Linked DNA regions of Stegostoma tigrinum. Each later gene encodes a partner of the first gene's protein in a complex. Links are inferred from orthologs where the notes say so. Each region holds a gene or a part of one and is shown on either strand. Other genes may lie near its edges.

Region 1 (7,845 bases):
TATTTACTGTATCCTGTATTACGGCCTCCATCGGTTTCCAACCATTAATGACAAACTGACAGGTGTGTAGTTTCCTGGGTTATCCTCTGCCCCTTTCTTAAACATGATGTTACATTTGCAATCCTCCAGCCTTCTGGGATTAATCCTTTGTTCAGAGAGATCTGGAAAATTTCTGTCAACAGCTCTGCAATTTTTCTCCCTTAATCCTCTCAGCAATCTAGTTTGCATCCCATCTGGGCCTGGTGACCTCTTTTACCTGGAGTGCTGCCAGCCTTTTTTGGAATCCCTTCTTTATCTATCACTATACTGCTCAGTTACTCAACGCTCACATTTTCAACTGAACCATTGTAACCATTTTCTAATTCGGCAAAGACAGAAGCAAAATATTAACTTAGCACCTCTGCCAACTTCTTTGCGTCAGTGAGTAATTGCCACTGCTTGTTACTTTTGGAACCCACTTTATCCTTCATTATCTTTCCCCATTTAATGTGTTTGTAGAACGTTTTAATGCAACCTGCCATCCTTTCCTCGTGCTTCCTTTTAGCCTTCTTTATTCCAGCCTATGCCTCTCTCTTGCATTTGAGATGCTCTTCCTGATTTCTGTTGCTATTATTATTTTCATATGCCTTTTTCTTTCTTATTTTTCTCATCAATATCCTTTAGTTATCCAAGGTACTCTAGCTTTGGATATCTTTGTATTTATTTTTCATGGGTATGCACCTGAGTTGCACCCAATTATTTCTTTTGAAATTTTCCCATTTTTCACCCACTGTTTCATCAACCAAAAAGCATTTCCAACCAACTTGCTCCAGTTCCACTTTCAGACCCCTAAAATTTGTTCTTTTTCTAGTCTTGGGGCATTAATCTCTTGACTGACTTTTATCGTTTTCGTATTTAATTGCTCGCTGAATCTGATGCTCTCCACTGCGATTTCCTCATTTTCTAGGACCAGATCCAGCATAGCTTCCTTCCCTAGTAGGGCTGGGAGATGAACTGTTCTAGAAAGCTTCAATTGCAAGAAATTCTCTGCTTCCATGGTCCTCATACTACCTTTTCCCCAGTCTACCCTGAGGTAATTGAAAACATCGAACATAACTCTCTATTCATCCTGCAAATTTCCATAATTTGCCTACAAATGCTTTCTCCTACTTCCTCCCCACTATTTGAGGATCTATAATAAATACACAACAAGGTCAATGCTCCCTTCCTGTTTCTCACCTCTAACTATACAGATTCTGATTTTGGAATTGCATCTCATTCAAGGGCAATGATACTATCTTCACCCAAAGCTGTAATACCTCTTCCCTTTTCACACACTTTGTTTCTACTAAAAGCCTTATAACCTGGGATATTAAATACCTATTCAGAGACAGTAGGAACTGCTGATGCTGGAGAATCTATTTATTTCAGAATCCCCTTCCCCACCCCCTTTTCTGAAGAAGGGTCCAGACCTGAAATGTCAGCTTTCCTGTTCCTCTGATGCTGTTTGGCCTGCTGTGTTCATCCTACTCTACACCTTGTTATCTCAGATTCTCCAACATCAGCAGTACCTACTATATGTGAATAAAAGACAGACATGTTTTCAGAAAACACTAAGTAATTCCACTCCTCACATCAGAGACGGCTGTACCTCTTTTGTTCTTACAGCTGATTCTGAAATTAATTTGACATGCATATTTCCATGACTACTTGTTGCTGTATTATGTTATTTGAGGATACAGAGGAAAGATGGGTAATTGCTAAATTGTATTTGGATACTTAAGTAGTGGAAAGTTGCTACTTTGGAAAATGCTTTGCTATATGCTTGCTCCTCTTGATTTTCTAGAAGTTTGTGTCTAAAAACAAATGCATTAGCTGTGAGAAAATGATAATTCTTGCTTTCTGAATTCTGGCATGACGTGTTAGTCCTTTTTTTTAAAAAAAAAATGCACATGATGTCCCTAAAGTTATCTGCACCAGGTTTACATATGAGCTTATCACAAACATTAAATTTCATTTCTTTTTGTTGGGTGAGAAACATCTGACATTTCACTTTGAGCAACTATGCGAGGTGTAGATATGGTAATGAGTAAAATATTATCAGCAAAACCACTTTGCTGATAAATACAGGAACTCTTGGAGATCAATCTTTCGATGTTTTTCAACGGAACATGTTTGTTATTTTTAATTGGGAGTTGTTGTCACTAGGGTAATCCAGATAGTAAGCACTTACCTATTGTAATCTTTTTATTTGCTTTTTTTTCCGACATTCCTATTCAAACAAGAAGCTGGAAGGATATGGAAGAGAGAGAACATGGGGAAATAAATAGCGACATCTTGAAAAATGTTCATATTACGGAGGAGGGTTGCTGGATGTCTTAAAACACGTTAAGGTGGATAGATCCCTGGGACCTGGTCAGGTGCACCCTAGAAATCTATGGGATCCTAGGGAAGTGATTGCTGAGACCCTTGCTGAGATATTTATATCATCGATAGCCACAGGTGAGGTGCTGGAAGCCTGGAGGTTGGCTAACATGGTGCTGCTAGTTAAGAAAGGTGGTAAGGAAAAGCCAGGGAACTACAAACTAGTGAGCCTGACATTGGTGGGCAAGTTGTTGGAGGTAATCCTGAAGGGCAAGATTTAAATGCATTTCGAAAGGCAAAGGCTGATTAGGGATAGTCAGCATAGCTTTGTACAGGGGGGAAATTGGGTCTCACTAACTTGATGGAGATTTTTTTGAAGAAGTAACATAGGATTGACGATGCAGAGCGGTGGATGTAATCTCTATGGACTTAGAACATTACAGCACAGTACAGGCCCTTCGGCCCTTGATGTTGTGCCGACCTGTCATACCGATCTGAAGCCCATCTAACCTAAACTATTCCATGTGCTTGTCCATATGCTGACTTAAATGTACTTAAAGTTGGCGAATCTACTACCGTTGCAGGCAAAGTGTTCCATTCCATTGCTACTCTGAGTAAAGAAACTACCCCTTACATCTGTCCTATATCTTTCACCCCTCAATTTAAAACTATGCCCCCTCGTGCTCGCTGTCACCATCCTAGGAAAAAAGCTCTCCCTATCCACCCTACCTAACCCTCTGATTATTTTATATGTCTCAATTAAATCACCCCTCAACCTTCTTCTCTCTAACGAAAACAGCCTCAAATCCCTCCACCTTTCCTCATAAGATCTTCCCTCCATACCAGGCAACATCCTAGTAAATCTCCTCTGCACCTTTTCCAAAGCTTCCACATCGGTTCCTCATGGTGGATTGGTTAGCAAGGTTATCACATGGAATACAGGGAGGACCACCCATTTGGATACAGAACTGGCTCAGAAGTTGAAGGCAGAGGGAGCCAGTGGAGGGTTGTGTGGCTCAGATGGGGATCTTTCAGGTGGTGGCATTCCTATGCATCTACTGCCCTTTCAGGCAGTTGTGATTGTGGGTTTGAAAGATGTTATCTGGGGACTGTTGGTGAATTTCTGCAGTGCAACTTGCAGATGGTATGTACTGCTGCTAATGAGGAGTGGATGCTTGTGGATGAACTGCCAATCAAGAAACAATTTTTCCTGGATAGTATTGAGCTTTTTGAATGTGGTAGGAGTTACTTTCTTCCAGGCAAGTGGGAACTATTCCACCCTCTCTTGTAGATAGTGAATGAGATCTGGAGAGTCAGGAAGGGAGTTACTCATGACAGTATTCCTAGCCTGTAGCCCATTCTTGTGGTTACAAATCTTTACATGGCTACTCCAGTTAAGTTTGAGTTCAGTTTAGTAACCCCCAGGATGTGACTAGTGGTGGTTTCAGTGATGGTAATGCCATTGAACGTCAAGGGTTGAAGTTGGATTGTTTCTTACTGGAGATGGTCATTGTCATTTGTTTGGCATAAATCATATTTGCCACTTTTCAACCCAAGCCTGGATCTTGTCGCATTTGAATATGGACTGCTTCAGTACCTGAGTCAAATGGTTTTGAACATTGGTAAACATCCCCACTTCTGACCTTTTTGATGGAGGGAAGATCATTGGTGAAGCAGCTGAAGATGGTTGGGGCATGGAACACTACCCTGAGGAACTCCTGCAGAGGTGTCCTGGAGCTGAGATGACTGACCCCTAACAACCTCAATGATCTTCACATGTGCCAGGTATGTCTCTAATCAGTGGAGAGCTTGCCCCCATACATACTGATTTCAGTTTTGCTAGGGTTTCTTAATACCACACAATCAAATGTGACCTTGAGGTCAAGGGCTGTCACTCACATCACCTCTGGAATTCAGCTCTTTTGGCTGTCACGGGGTTACGGACCGCGTGACCCTGGAGCAACCCAAACTGGGCATCACTGAGCAGGATTTTGCTGAGCTGGTGCAGCTTGATAGCACTGTTGTTGACACCATCCATCACTTTACAGATGATTGAGAGTAGACTAATAGGGCAGTAATAATGCAGTTGGATTAGTGCAGGTAAGAAACTAAAGAACTGCAGATGCTGTAAATCAGGAAACAAAACATATTGCTGTAAAAGCTCAGCATGTCTGGCAGCATCTGAAGGAGAAAACAGAGTTAGTGTTTCAGGTCTAGTAAGCTCTAAGTTCTGAGGAAGGGTAACCGGACCTGAAACGTTAACTCTGTTTTCTCCCTCACACCTGCCGAGCTTTTCCACCAATTTTTGTTTTTCTTCCTGATTTACAGCATCCACTTTTTCTGGATTTTATGCAGTTCCACTGGTGGCCATAGTGGGCGCTCTGTGTCGGTGTGCAGTTTCCTTCCGGTGGCCGCAGTAGGCGCGCCGTGTCGGTGTGCGATTCCCCTGTTGACCAGAGTGGGCGCGCTGTGTAGCCATCCAGTTCCCCTTGTGGCCTTAGGAGGCGCGCTGTGTCGGGATGCATTAACAGAGATGATAAGAGTTGGAGAATCTGAGATAACAAAGTGTAGAGCTGGATGAATACAGCAGGCCAAGCAGCATCAGAGGAGCAGGAAAGCTGACGTTTCAGGCCCAGACCTTAGGGATCGATGCAGGGCCCGAAACGTCAGCTTTTGTGCTCCTCTAAGATACTGCTTGGCCCCACACTGTTACCTTGGATTCTCCAGCGTCTGCAGATCCCATTATCTCGGACCGATGCAGTCCCCCTGGTGGTCGGAGGGGGCGCGCTGTGTCGCGCTGCAGTACCCTGGGCGTCTGTAGGGGGCGCAGTAGGCGGAACAGGAGTGTCGAGGAGCGGAAGTGGCGGGTGTCTGGAGCCGCTCCCATGGCGACCCGAGCGCTGCAGGAATGGGCCCGTCTACAGGTGTTGGGATACCCGGGGGTCGAGGTGACGAACATGAGCTCGAGCTTCAGGGACGGGCTTGCCTTTTGTGCCATCATCCACCGGCACCGCCCTGAGCTGATGTGAGTGTCTGGGGAGGCCGTGCAGGGAGGGTCTCTTCCCCCGCCCCAGCCCTGAGGTGAAGAAGTACAGGGCTCTCTACCCCAGCCCTGAGTGACCATGGGGTACCTGGTCAGGGAGAGTATCCCCTAGGGGAGTTCTCGGTACAGTGTTTCACCCAGCATGGAGAGTGGAGTGAGAAAGACGGGGCTTCGGGACCCTGAACTGTTCCTTCATCTCTTCTGGCTGTAAGCTGGCTTGTTGGTCCCTGTTGGAACTGCTCCGGCCTGGACAGAGCTGGGCAAAGTGAGCACCCAGTCTCACCCCGTGCCACGTTCTCCTTGGCCCAGGGCATGCTTCTAGAGTAGCACAGAACAGCAGGGATCAGAATAACTGACTGCTGAAGTGTAAATTTTTCAGTTACGTGGATTGGCCATGCTAAATTGCCCCATAGAGTCCCGGCTAGCTGGATTAGCCACAAGGTAAATGTGGTGTTACAGGGATGGGGGTGGGAAGGTGGATCTAGCGGGAAGGTGGATCTAGCGGGATGTTCTTTGGGGGATCACAGCAGACGCAGTGGGATGAATGGAGATCAGAGCTAATGGGAACTGCAGATGCTGGAGAATCCAGGATAACAAAGTGTGGAGCTGGATGAACACAGCAGGCCAAGCAGCATCTCGGGAGCACAAAAGCTGATGTTTCGGGCCTAGACCCTTCATCGGAGAGGGGGATGGGAAGAGGATTCCGAAATAAATACGGAGAGAGGGAGAGGCGGACCGATGATGGATAGAGGAGAAGATAGGTGGAGAGTATAGGTATGGAGGGGGTAGGTCAGTCCAGGGAGGATGGAAAGGTCAAGGAGGTGGGATGAGGTTGGTAGGTGAGAAATGGAGGTGCAGCTTGAGGTGGGAGGAGGGGATGGGTGAGAGGAAGAACAGGTTAGGGAAGCGGGAATGAGCTGGGCTGGTTTTGGGATGTAGTGGGGGAGGGGGAGATCTTGAAGCTTGTGAAGTCCACATTGATACCATCAGGCTGCAGGGTTCCCAAGCGGAATATAGGTTGCTGTTCCTGCAACCTTCGGGTGGCATCATTGTGCCATTGCAGGAGGCCCAGGATGGACATGTCATCGAAGGAATGGGAGGGGGAGTTAAAATGGTTTGCGACTGGGAGGTGCAGTTGTTCATTGTGAACCAAGCGGAGGTGTTCTGCAAAGTGGTCCCCAAGCCTCCGCTTGGTTTCCCCAACATAGTGGAAGCCACACCGTGTACAGTGGATACAGTATACTACATTGGCAGATGTGCAGGTGAACATCTGCTTGATGTGGAAAGTCATCTTTGGGCCTGGGTTGGAGATGATGGAGGTGGTGTGGGGGCAAGTGTAGCACTTCCTGCGGTTGCAGGGGAAGGTGCCAGGTGTGGTAGGGTTGAAGGGGAGTTTGGAGCGAACAAGGGAGTCACGAAGAGAGTTGTCTCTCCGGAATGCAGACAAGGGTGGGGATGGGGTTGGTGGGGTTGGATTGTAGAATGCAGAAGTGTCTGAGGATAATGCATTGTATCCAGAGATTGGTGGGGTGGTATGTGAGGATGAGGGGGATTCTTTTAGAGCGGTTATTGCGGGGGCGGGGTGAGTTATGTGTTGCAGGAAATGCGGGAGACACAGTTTAGGGCGTTCTTGACTTCTCTTTGGGGGTGGGGGGGCCAAGGAGTTGCGGTCCTTGAAGAACGTGGCCATCTGGGATGTGCGGGAGTGGAATGCCTCATCCTGGGAGCAGATGCGGCAGAGGCGAAGGAATTTTTGCAGGGGGGTGGGTGGGCGGGCGGTCGGAGGTGTATCCTAGGTAGCTGTGGGAGTCGGTGAGCTGGATGAATGGCCTCTTTCTGAACTGTAGGGATTCTATGATAAAAGGAGTCATTACATTATGCCTGGAATAAGAACATATAAAATAGGAACAGCGTAGCTGTTGGGCTTTCGAGCCTACTCCATCATTCAGTAAGATCATGGCTAATCTGTTTCTGTTCCAAATCTCAATTTACCCCTGACAAACCTTGATTTTCCAGTCTAATAAGAATCCCATCCCACTTCTGCCTTAAAAATATTCAGTGATGTCCTCCCACTGCCTTCTGAGGCAGATAGTTCCAAAGTTTCTCAACTTTCAGAGAGTAAATTTCCCCTCATCTGTCCTAAGAGGATGACCTTAATTTTATAGCAGTACACCATAATTCAGGACTCATGCACAAAAGTAAACTTTTCTACATCCACCTCATTGACACCATTCAAGATCTTGTTTACTTTGATTTTGATTTGATTTATTGTTGTCACAGTACCCGAGATCATGGCATACAACCTGTATGTGGTTGTAGGGTGTTTAGACAGAGCAAGGCACACAAGGTTACAGCTGCACAGGAGGTGTACAAAGCAGAATCAGCATTAGTTTTTTAATTGGAGAGGTCCATTCAGCAGTCTAATAACAGCAGGGAAAAAGCTGTTCTTGAACCTTTGT
Region 2 (7,232 bases), on another chromosome or scaffold:
TCTCCTGTGAACTTGCCCCCCTCACCTTAAACGCATGTATTAGACGTTTCAACCCTATCTACGTATCTCATCATTTTATAGACTTCTATCAAGTCTCCGCGCAGCCTCCACCGCTCCAGAGAAAACAACCTGAGTTTTTCCAGGATCTCCTTATAGTTCACACCCTCTAACCCAGGCAGAATCCTGGTAAACCCCTTCTGCACTCTCTCCCCAAAGCCCCCACATCCTTCCTGTAACGTGGCGAACAGAATTGAACACAATTCTCTAAGTGCGGCCGAACCAAAGTCTTTCCAAGCAGCAACATGACGTCCTGACTCTTGTACTCAATTCCCCGACCAATAAAAGTGAGCATGCCATACGCCTTCTTTACCACCCTATCTACTAGGGCGGCCACTTTCAGGGAGCTACCGACTTGAACCCCAAGATCCTTCTGTACATCAATGCTGTTCAGGGTTAACTATATACTTTACTTTAACATTTGGTCTCCCAAAGTGCAGCACCTCACACTTGCCCCCGTTAAACTCCATCTGCCATTTTCCCACCCTTACCTGCAACTGAGCTACATCCTGCTGTATCCTTTGACAAACTTCTGCACTATCCTGAACTCCTCCGAATTTTGTATCATCTGCAAACTTACTAACTCACCCATCTACATTTTCATCTACTTCATTTATATCACGAACAGCAGAGGTCCCAGTACGAATCCCTGCAGAACACCGCTAGTCAATGGATCTTCAGCTTGAGAAACACCCTTCCACCAATACCCTCGGTCTTCTACGGTCAAGCCAAATCTGAATCCATGTGGCCATGTGGGTCCCATTAATTTTAATCTTCTGGATGAGCCAACCATGAGGGACCTTGACGAAAGCCTGACTGAAATCCATGCAGCTGACATCAACAGCTCCACCCTCATTGATCACCTTTGGGCCCTCCTCAAAAAATTCAATCAAGTTAGTTCGACATGATCTGCCCTTTCAAAGCCACACTGACTCTCTATAACAAGGCCATGCTTTTTCAAATGCGTGTAAATCCCATCCTAAAGAATACATTCTTATAGCTTCCCAACCACTGACCGAAACGTCAGCTTTTGTGCTCCTAAGATGCTGCTTGGCCTGCTGTGTTCATCCAGCTCCACACCTTGTTATCTGGGATTCTCCAGCATCTGCAGTTCCCATTCTCACTGATGAGAAACTCACTGGGCTATAGGTTCCTGGATCATCCCCATTTCCCTTCTTGAACAGAAAAACAACATTAGCTACTCTCCAATCCTCTGAGACTTCTCCATTAGCTAGCGAGGATAAAGAGATCTTGCAATCTACTTTTATATTACTAGCTCGCTTACCCTCATATTCTCCCGTCTTGTTACTTTATTTTAGCTTATCCTCTACTGCTGTTTGAAGGCTTCTCAATCCTCTGGCCTTCCACCAATCTTCACCACATTATATGCCTTGTCTTTTGCTCCTGAAGTGGTTGTGTCGTAGGCCCTCAGTTCCATTGCAATCAGCCTGGTAGAACATGATCCAGTTTTTCAGATTCACAAGTTTGTCAGACATGCTGGTATTTGGAAACTCTATCAAGTTACTAGGAACATTGACTGAGAACAGAATTTCAGCAGCAAGACATGTAGCTTTCCTTCCTGAATCTGGAGGCTGCCAACGGAATTCTAAGTCCAGAAAGGATTGCTAGACAATACATATTCCCCCCCACCGCCCCACCTTTAGTCTTTTCAAAACCAGGTTTTCCCAGTAATTAAGGCAATAAACCCATATTTTATCTCCTTAAAAGCTTTGCTCGGCTGTTTTCTCCAAAGTTATTTGACTTTGCTGCAAGCGGTGGTTGACTTACAACACACATTATTGTTAACTTCACTTCGCAGTGAAACCCTGTTTAACCCAGAAAATGTCCAAACTACACTATACTTCGCAATTTTTCCACACAATCCTTGAATATTCTGTCTAGATTCTCAATGGTTTACATCTCGTTGCACAAAAACATCCAAAAAGGTTTAAAACAACATTCCCATTTTTGTTTCAACTTCATCTGAGTATCAATATAAAGTTTTTTTTGAAAAAGAGCTGCATTAATTGCTATAAACTTATTAAGTTGGGATAAATTCCTATTGCTGCTCTGAGCCTGTTAAACCTGAGAGGTGATGATGATTGAAGACCACATGAAAGGAGGATGGGGGAGAACAGTCACATGGTGGTGGGTGATGTCTCGCAAGTGAGTTTAGGAACATGACTTATCCCCACTGGATAGTCAACATCTACTGAAGAAAGCAGAAGGGAGGCTGGGGTTGGAGGAAGCAGCTGTGCACAGCAGTGAATAGATCAAAGCACAGGCCAGACCCCAACCTGTGTGCAGTGTATCTAAGAGATATGATGCGTGCCTGCAGAGAGACACACAGACCTGTACTCCCTCAATGGCCTTCCTTAAATAAGGAGAGCAGAACTGTGCTTGATACTCCAGGAGCAGGTGGTACATGGGGGCTCTGACCTGAACTCATCATTAGGTGGTGACTGGGATTGGGACCACAAGAGTGGGAGTCAGCCATTCAGCACCTCGAACCTGCTCCATCATTCAGCGTGAATGATTTTCTGCCTTGGTGCTATTTTCCCCACACCATTCCTTGATAACCTTATCTTGAACAAGCTCAAAGACAGAGCCTCCGCTGCCCTCTGAGGCAGAGAATTCCAAAGAGTCCCCAGCCTCTGAATGAAGAAATCCTTAATCCAAAATGGCCAATCTTTTATCCTGAGTCTGTGTGTCTCCTGGTTCAAGAAGACCTAGGGGAACGTCCTTCCTACGTACCCCCTGGCGAGCCCTGTCACAATTTTAGTATCCTTCGATAAGGTCACCTTTCACTCTTCTGAACTCCAGATAATCCCAGCCTGGTCTCCTCAATCTCTTCTCGTGAGACAATCTCATCATCCCAGGGATGAGGAACCTCTGCCACACTCTCTCAATGGCCTTCCTTAAATATGGTGAGTAGAACCGTACTTGATACTCCAGGAGCAGACCAACGGAAGCTTTATGCAAATGCAGCAAGATACTCCCTGCTCCAGTCCTAACACAGTTATGATTGACATACATTGCCCTCCCAAATTGGTCACCATACATTGATGCCTGTTGTTACTGACTCAGGGTAGAGGTTACCCATCTAGATTGGACAGAAGGTCACACTTTGGATATTGCCATGACTACAGAGTTGGGAATTAGGAATGGGCCACTCAGCCCTTCTAGCCCATGTCGCCACAACATGGCAGACAATGTCATTTCGGGGACATAAATCCTTGGCTTGCTCTTCCCAACCTCCTTGCACTTAAGAGGCATTCTCCAATGGATTTTGATGTTGAAGTTCTCTCTCTGCACCCACTCACCAATCTCCCTCCATGGTCCACCAACCACCATCGTGATCCACCCATTCCATGGGCCTGGAACTAGGACACACCCACAAAGTGGGTGTGACCACAGGAAGACACACCCTCGTGTGGGCGTGATCACAGGAGAGCACCCACAATTGGGCGGGATCACAGATGGCACACCCTCAGTTGGGCGGGGCGAGGAGAACACCTACGTGTGGGTGGGACCGCGAGATGACACGTCCTTGAATGGGCGGGGCTGCAACGTGACACCCCTTCACACGGCTGGGCGGGGCGGAGTGGGCGCGTCCGAGACGGCTGGAGCATAAGTGGGCGGTGCTTTAACATGACACCGCCAACAGGTGGGCGTGGCGGAGTGGTGACACGCCCACGGGTGGGCGAGGCTGTGGCAACGCTGGAGCGTGGGACACGCCCACAGGTTTAATCGCCCTCCCACAAACCGACAGTGATTGGAAAGATAATAAAATGTGAGGCTGGATGAACACAGCAGGCCAAGCAGCATCTCAGGAGCACAAAAGCTGACGTTTCGGGCCTAGACCCTTCATCAGAGTGATTGGAAAGGGCGAGGCTTTGAGACCCGGTGGGCGTGTCTGAAATCCGAACACGCCCACCAGACGGGCGGGGACGGATTCACCATCGGGCAGCGTCGTGAGATGACGTAGGCTTCGCGTGGCGTTGACGGCGCGGGCCTCGCGAGATCCTTCCCGCCCCTCCGACGGCCCCGTATTTAAGGGGGAGCGCGCAGGCGCGGCGGCTCCAGTAGTGGCGGTTGGCGGCGGCGGGTGGGTGTGTTGTAGAGGGGGCAGGGCCGGCTTTTGCTATGTTCAGCTGGATGGGGAAGGACGCGCGGCGCAAGAAGGAGCCCGAGCTCTTCCAGACGGTGAGCGACGGCCTCAAGCGGCTGTACTCACAGAAGCTGCTGCCGCTGGAGGAGAGCTACCGGTTCCATGACTTCCACTCGCCCGCCCTGGAGGAGGCCGACTTCGACAACAAGCCCATGGTGCTGCTGGTCGGCCAGTACTCGACCGGCAAGACCACCTTCATCCGGCACCTGATCGAGCAGGACTTCCCCGGCATGAGGATCGGGCCCGAGCCCACCACCGACTCCTTCATCGCCGTCATGCACGGCGAGCAGGACGGGGTGGTGCCCGGTAACGCGCTGGTCGTCGACCCCAAGAAGCCCTTTAGGAAACTCAACGCCTTCGGCAACGCCTTCCTCAACAGGTAACGGCCCTCAGCGGCCCCCCCCCCCCCCCCCGGGTCCCTGTCCAGTCCCTTATCACCCCCCGGGGTCCCTGTCCAATCCCTTATCCCCACACCACCCCCCCCCCCCCCCGGGGTCCCTGTCCAGTCCCTTTCTCTTCTCTTCCCCCCCCCCCATCTGCCCTCCCCCTCAATCCTCCAAAGCCTCTTCCCCTCCCCCACAGCCACTTTCCTCCCCCTTCCTCCTCCTCCTCGCTCCCCCTCTCTCTTCCCCCCCTCCTCCTCGCTCCCCCTCTCTCTTCCCCCCCTCCTCCTCGCTCCCCCTCTCTCTTCCCCCCCTCCTCCTCGCTCCCCCTCTCTCTTCCCCCCCTCCTCCTCGCTCCCCCTCTCTCTTCCCCCCCTCCTCCTCGCTCCCCCTCTCTCTTCCCCCCCTCCTCCTCGCTCCCCCTCTCTTCCCCCCGCTCCCCCTCGCTCCCCCTCTCTCTTCCCCCCCGCTCCTCCTCGCTCCCCCTCGCTCCCCCTCTCTCTTCCCCCCCGCTCCTCCTCGCTCCCCCTCGCTCCCCCTCTCTCTTCCCCCCCGCTCCTCCTCGCTCCCCCTCTCTCTTCCCCCCCGCTCCTCCTCGCTCCCCCTCTCTCTTCCCCCCCCGCTCCTCCTCGCTCCCCCCCGCTCCTCCTCGCTCCCCCCCGCTCCTCCTCGCTCCCCCCCGCTCCTCCTCGCTCCTCCTCGCTCCCCCCCGCTCCCCCCCGCTCCCCCCCGCTCCCCCCCGCTCCCCCCCGCTCCCCCCCGCTCCCCCCCGCTCCCCCCCGCTCCCCCCCGCTCCCCCCCGCTCCCCCCCGCTCCTCCTCGCTCCCCCCCGCTCCTCCTCGCTCCCCCCCGCTCCTCCTCGCTCCCCCCCGCTCCTCCTCGCTCCCCCCCGCTCCTCCTCGCTCCCCCCCGCTCCTCCTCGCTCCCCCCCGCTCCTCCTCGCTCCCCCTCTCTCTTCCCCCCCGCTCCTCCTCGCTCCCCCTCTCTCTTCCCCCCCCCGCTCCTCCTCGCTCCCCCCCGCTCCTCCTCGCTCCCCCCCGCTCCTCCTCGCTCCCCCCCGCTCCTCCTCGCTCCCCCCCGCTCCTCCTCGCTCCCCCCCGCTCCCCCTCGCTCCCCCCCCCGCTCCTCCTCGCTCCCCCCCCGCTCCTCCTCGCTCCCCCCCGCTCCTCCTCGCTCCCCCCCGCTCCTCCTCGCTCCCCCCCGCTCCTCCTCGCTCCCCCCCGCTCCTCCTCGCTCCTCCTCGCTCCCCCCCGCTCCTCCTCGCTCCTCCTCGCTCCTCCTCGCTCCTCCTCGCTCCTCCTCGCTCCCCCTCGCTCCCCCTCGCTCCCCCTCGCTCCCCCTCGCTCCCCCTCGCTCCCCCTCGCTCCCCCTCGCTCCCCCTCGCTCCCCCCCGCTCCCCCCGCTCCCCCCCGCTCCCCCCCGCTCCCCCCCGCTCCCCCCCGCTCCCCCCCGCTCCCCCCCGCTCCCCCCCGCTCCCCCCCGCTCCCCCCCGCTCCCCCCCGCTCCCCCCCGCTCCCCCCCCGCTCCCCCCCGCTCCCCCCCGCTCCCCCCCGCTCCCCCCCGCTCCCCCCCGCTCCCCCCCGCTCCCCCTCGCTCCCCCTCTCTCTTCCCCCCCGCTCCTCCTCGCTCCCCCTCTCTCTTCCCCCCCGCTCCTCCTCGCTCCCCCTCTCTCTTCCCCCCCGCTCCTCCTCGCTCCCCCTCTCTCTTCCCCCCCCGCTCCTCCTCGCTCCCCCTCTCTTCCCCCCCCGCTCCTCCTCGCTCCCCCTCTCTTCCCCCCCCGCTCCTCCTCGCTCCCCCTCTCTTCCCCCCCGCTCCTCCTCGCTCCCCCTCTCTCTTCCCCCCCGCTCCTCCTCGCTCCCCCTCTCTCTTCCCCCCCGCTCCTCCTCGCTCCCCCTCTCTCTTCCCCCCCGCTCCTCCTCGCTCCCCCTCTCTCTTCCCCCCCGCTCCTCCTCGCTCCCCCTCTCTCTTCCCCCCCGCTCCTCCTCGCTCCCCCTCTCTCTTCCCCCCCGCTCCTCCTCGCTCCCCCTCTCTCTTCCCCCCCGCTCCTCCTCGCTCCCCCTCTCTCTTCCCCCCCGCTCCTCCTCGCTCCCCCTCTCTCTTCCCCCCCGCTCCTCCTCGCTCCCCCTCTCTCTTCCCCCCGCTCCTCCTCGCTCCCCCTCTCTCTTCCCCCCGCTCCTCCTCGCTCCCCCTCTCTCTTCCCCCCGCTCCTCCTCGCTCCCCCTTTCTCTTCCCCCCCGCTCCTCCTCGCTCCCCCTTTCTCTTCCCCCCCGCTCCTCCTCGCTCCCCCTTTCTCTTCCCCCCCGCTCCTCCTCGCTCCCCCTTTCTCTTCCCCCCCGCTCCTCCTCGCTCCCCCTCTCTCTTCCCCCCCCGCTCCTCCTCGCTCCCCCTCTCTCTTCCCCCCCGCTCCTCCTCGCTCCCCCTCTCTCTTCCCCCCCGCTCCTCCTCGCTCCCCCTCTCTCTTCCCCCCCGCTCCTCCTCGCTCCCCCTCTCTCTTCCCCCCCCGCTCCTCCTCGCTCCCCCTCTCTCTTCCCCCCCGCTCCTCCTCGCTCCCCCTCTCTCTTCCCCCCCGCTCCTCCTCGCTCCCCCTCTCTCTTCCCCCCCCGCTCCTCCTCGCTCCCCCT

What was found.
Region 2: the proteins of micall1a (region 1) and EH domain-containing protein 1 are in contact, whole or in part, in an NMR structure (PDB 2KSP), measured with the Homo sapiens proteins. The link is inferred for Stegostoma tigrinum from reciprocal best matches to the Homo sapiens genes MICALL1 and EHD1. Residues at the interface, in NP_203744.1 of Homo sapiens: Lys422, Tyr424, Asn425, Pro426, Phe427, Glu428, Glu429; in NP_001269373.1 of Homo sapiens: Gly464, Ala467, Lys468, Met471, Asn478, Leu481, Gly482, Trp485, Lys486, Lys492, Asp493, Gly494.

What each region holds. Positions count from the first base shown.
Region 1 is NC_081391.1:1,643,052-1,650,896, forward strand, and holds the start of micall1a (MICAL-like protein 1), read left to right. Parts: upstream 1-4,817; 5' UTR 4,818-5,228; coding exon 5,229-5,368; intron 5,369-7,845. UniProt on the Homo sapiens protein: Lipid-binding protein with higher affinity for phosphatidic acid, a lipid enriched in recycling endosome membranes. On endosome membranes, acts as a downstream effector of Rab proteins recruiting cytosolic proteins to regulate membrane tubulation.
Region 2 is NC_081395.1:7,014,557-7,021,788, forward strand, and holds the start of EH domain-containing protein 1, read left to right. Parts: upstream 1-4,155; 5' UTR 4,156-4,203; coding exon 4,204-4,607; intron 4,608-7,232. UniProt on the Homo sapiens protein: ATP- and membrane-binding protein that controls membrane reorganization/tubulation upon ATP hydrolysis. In vitro causes vesiculation of endocytic membranes. Acts in early endocytic membrane fusion and membrane trafficking of recycling endosomes.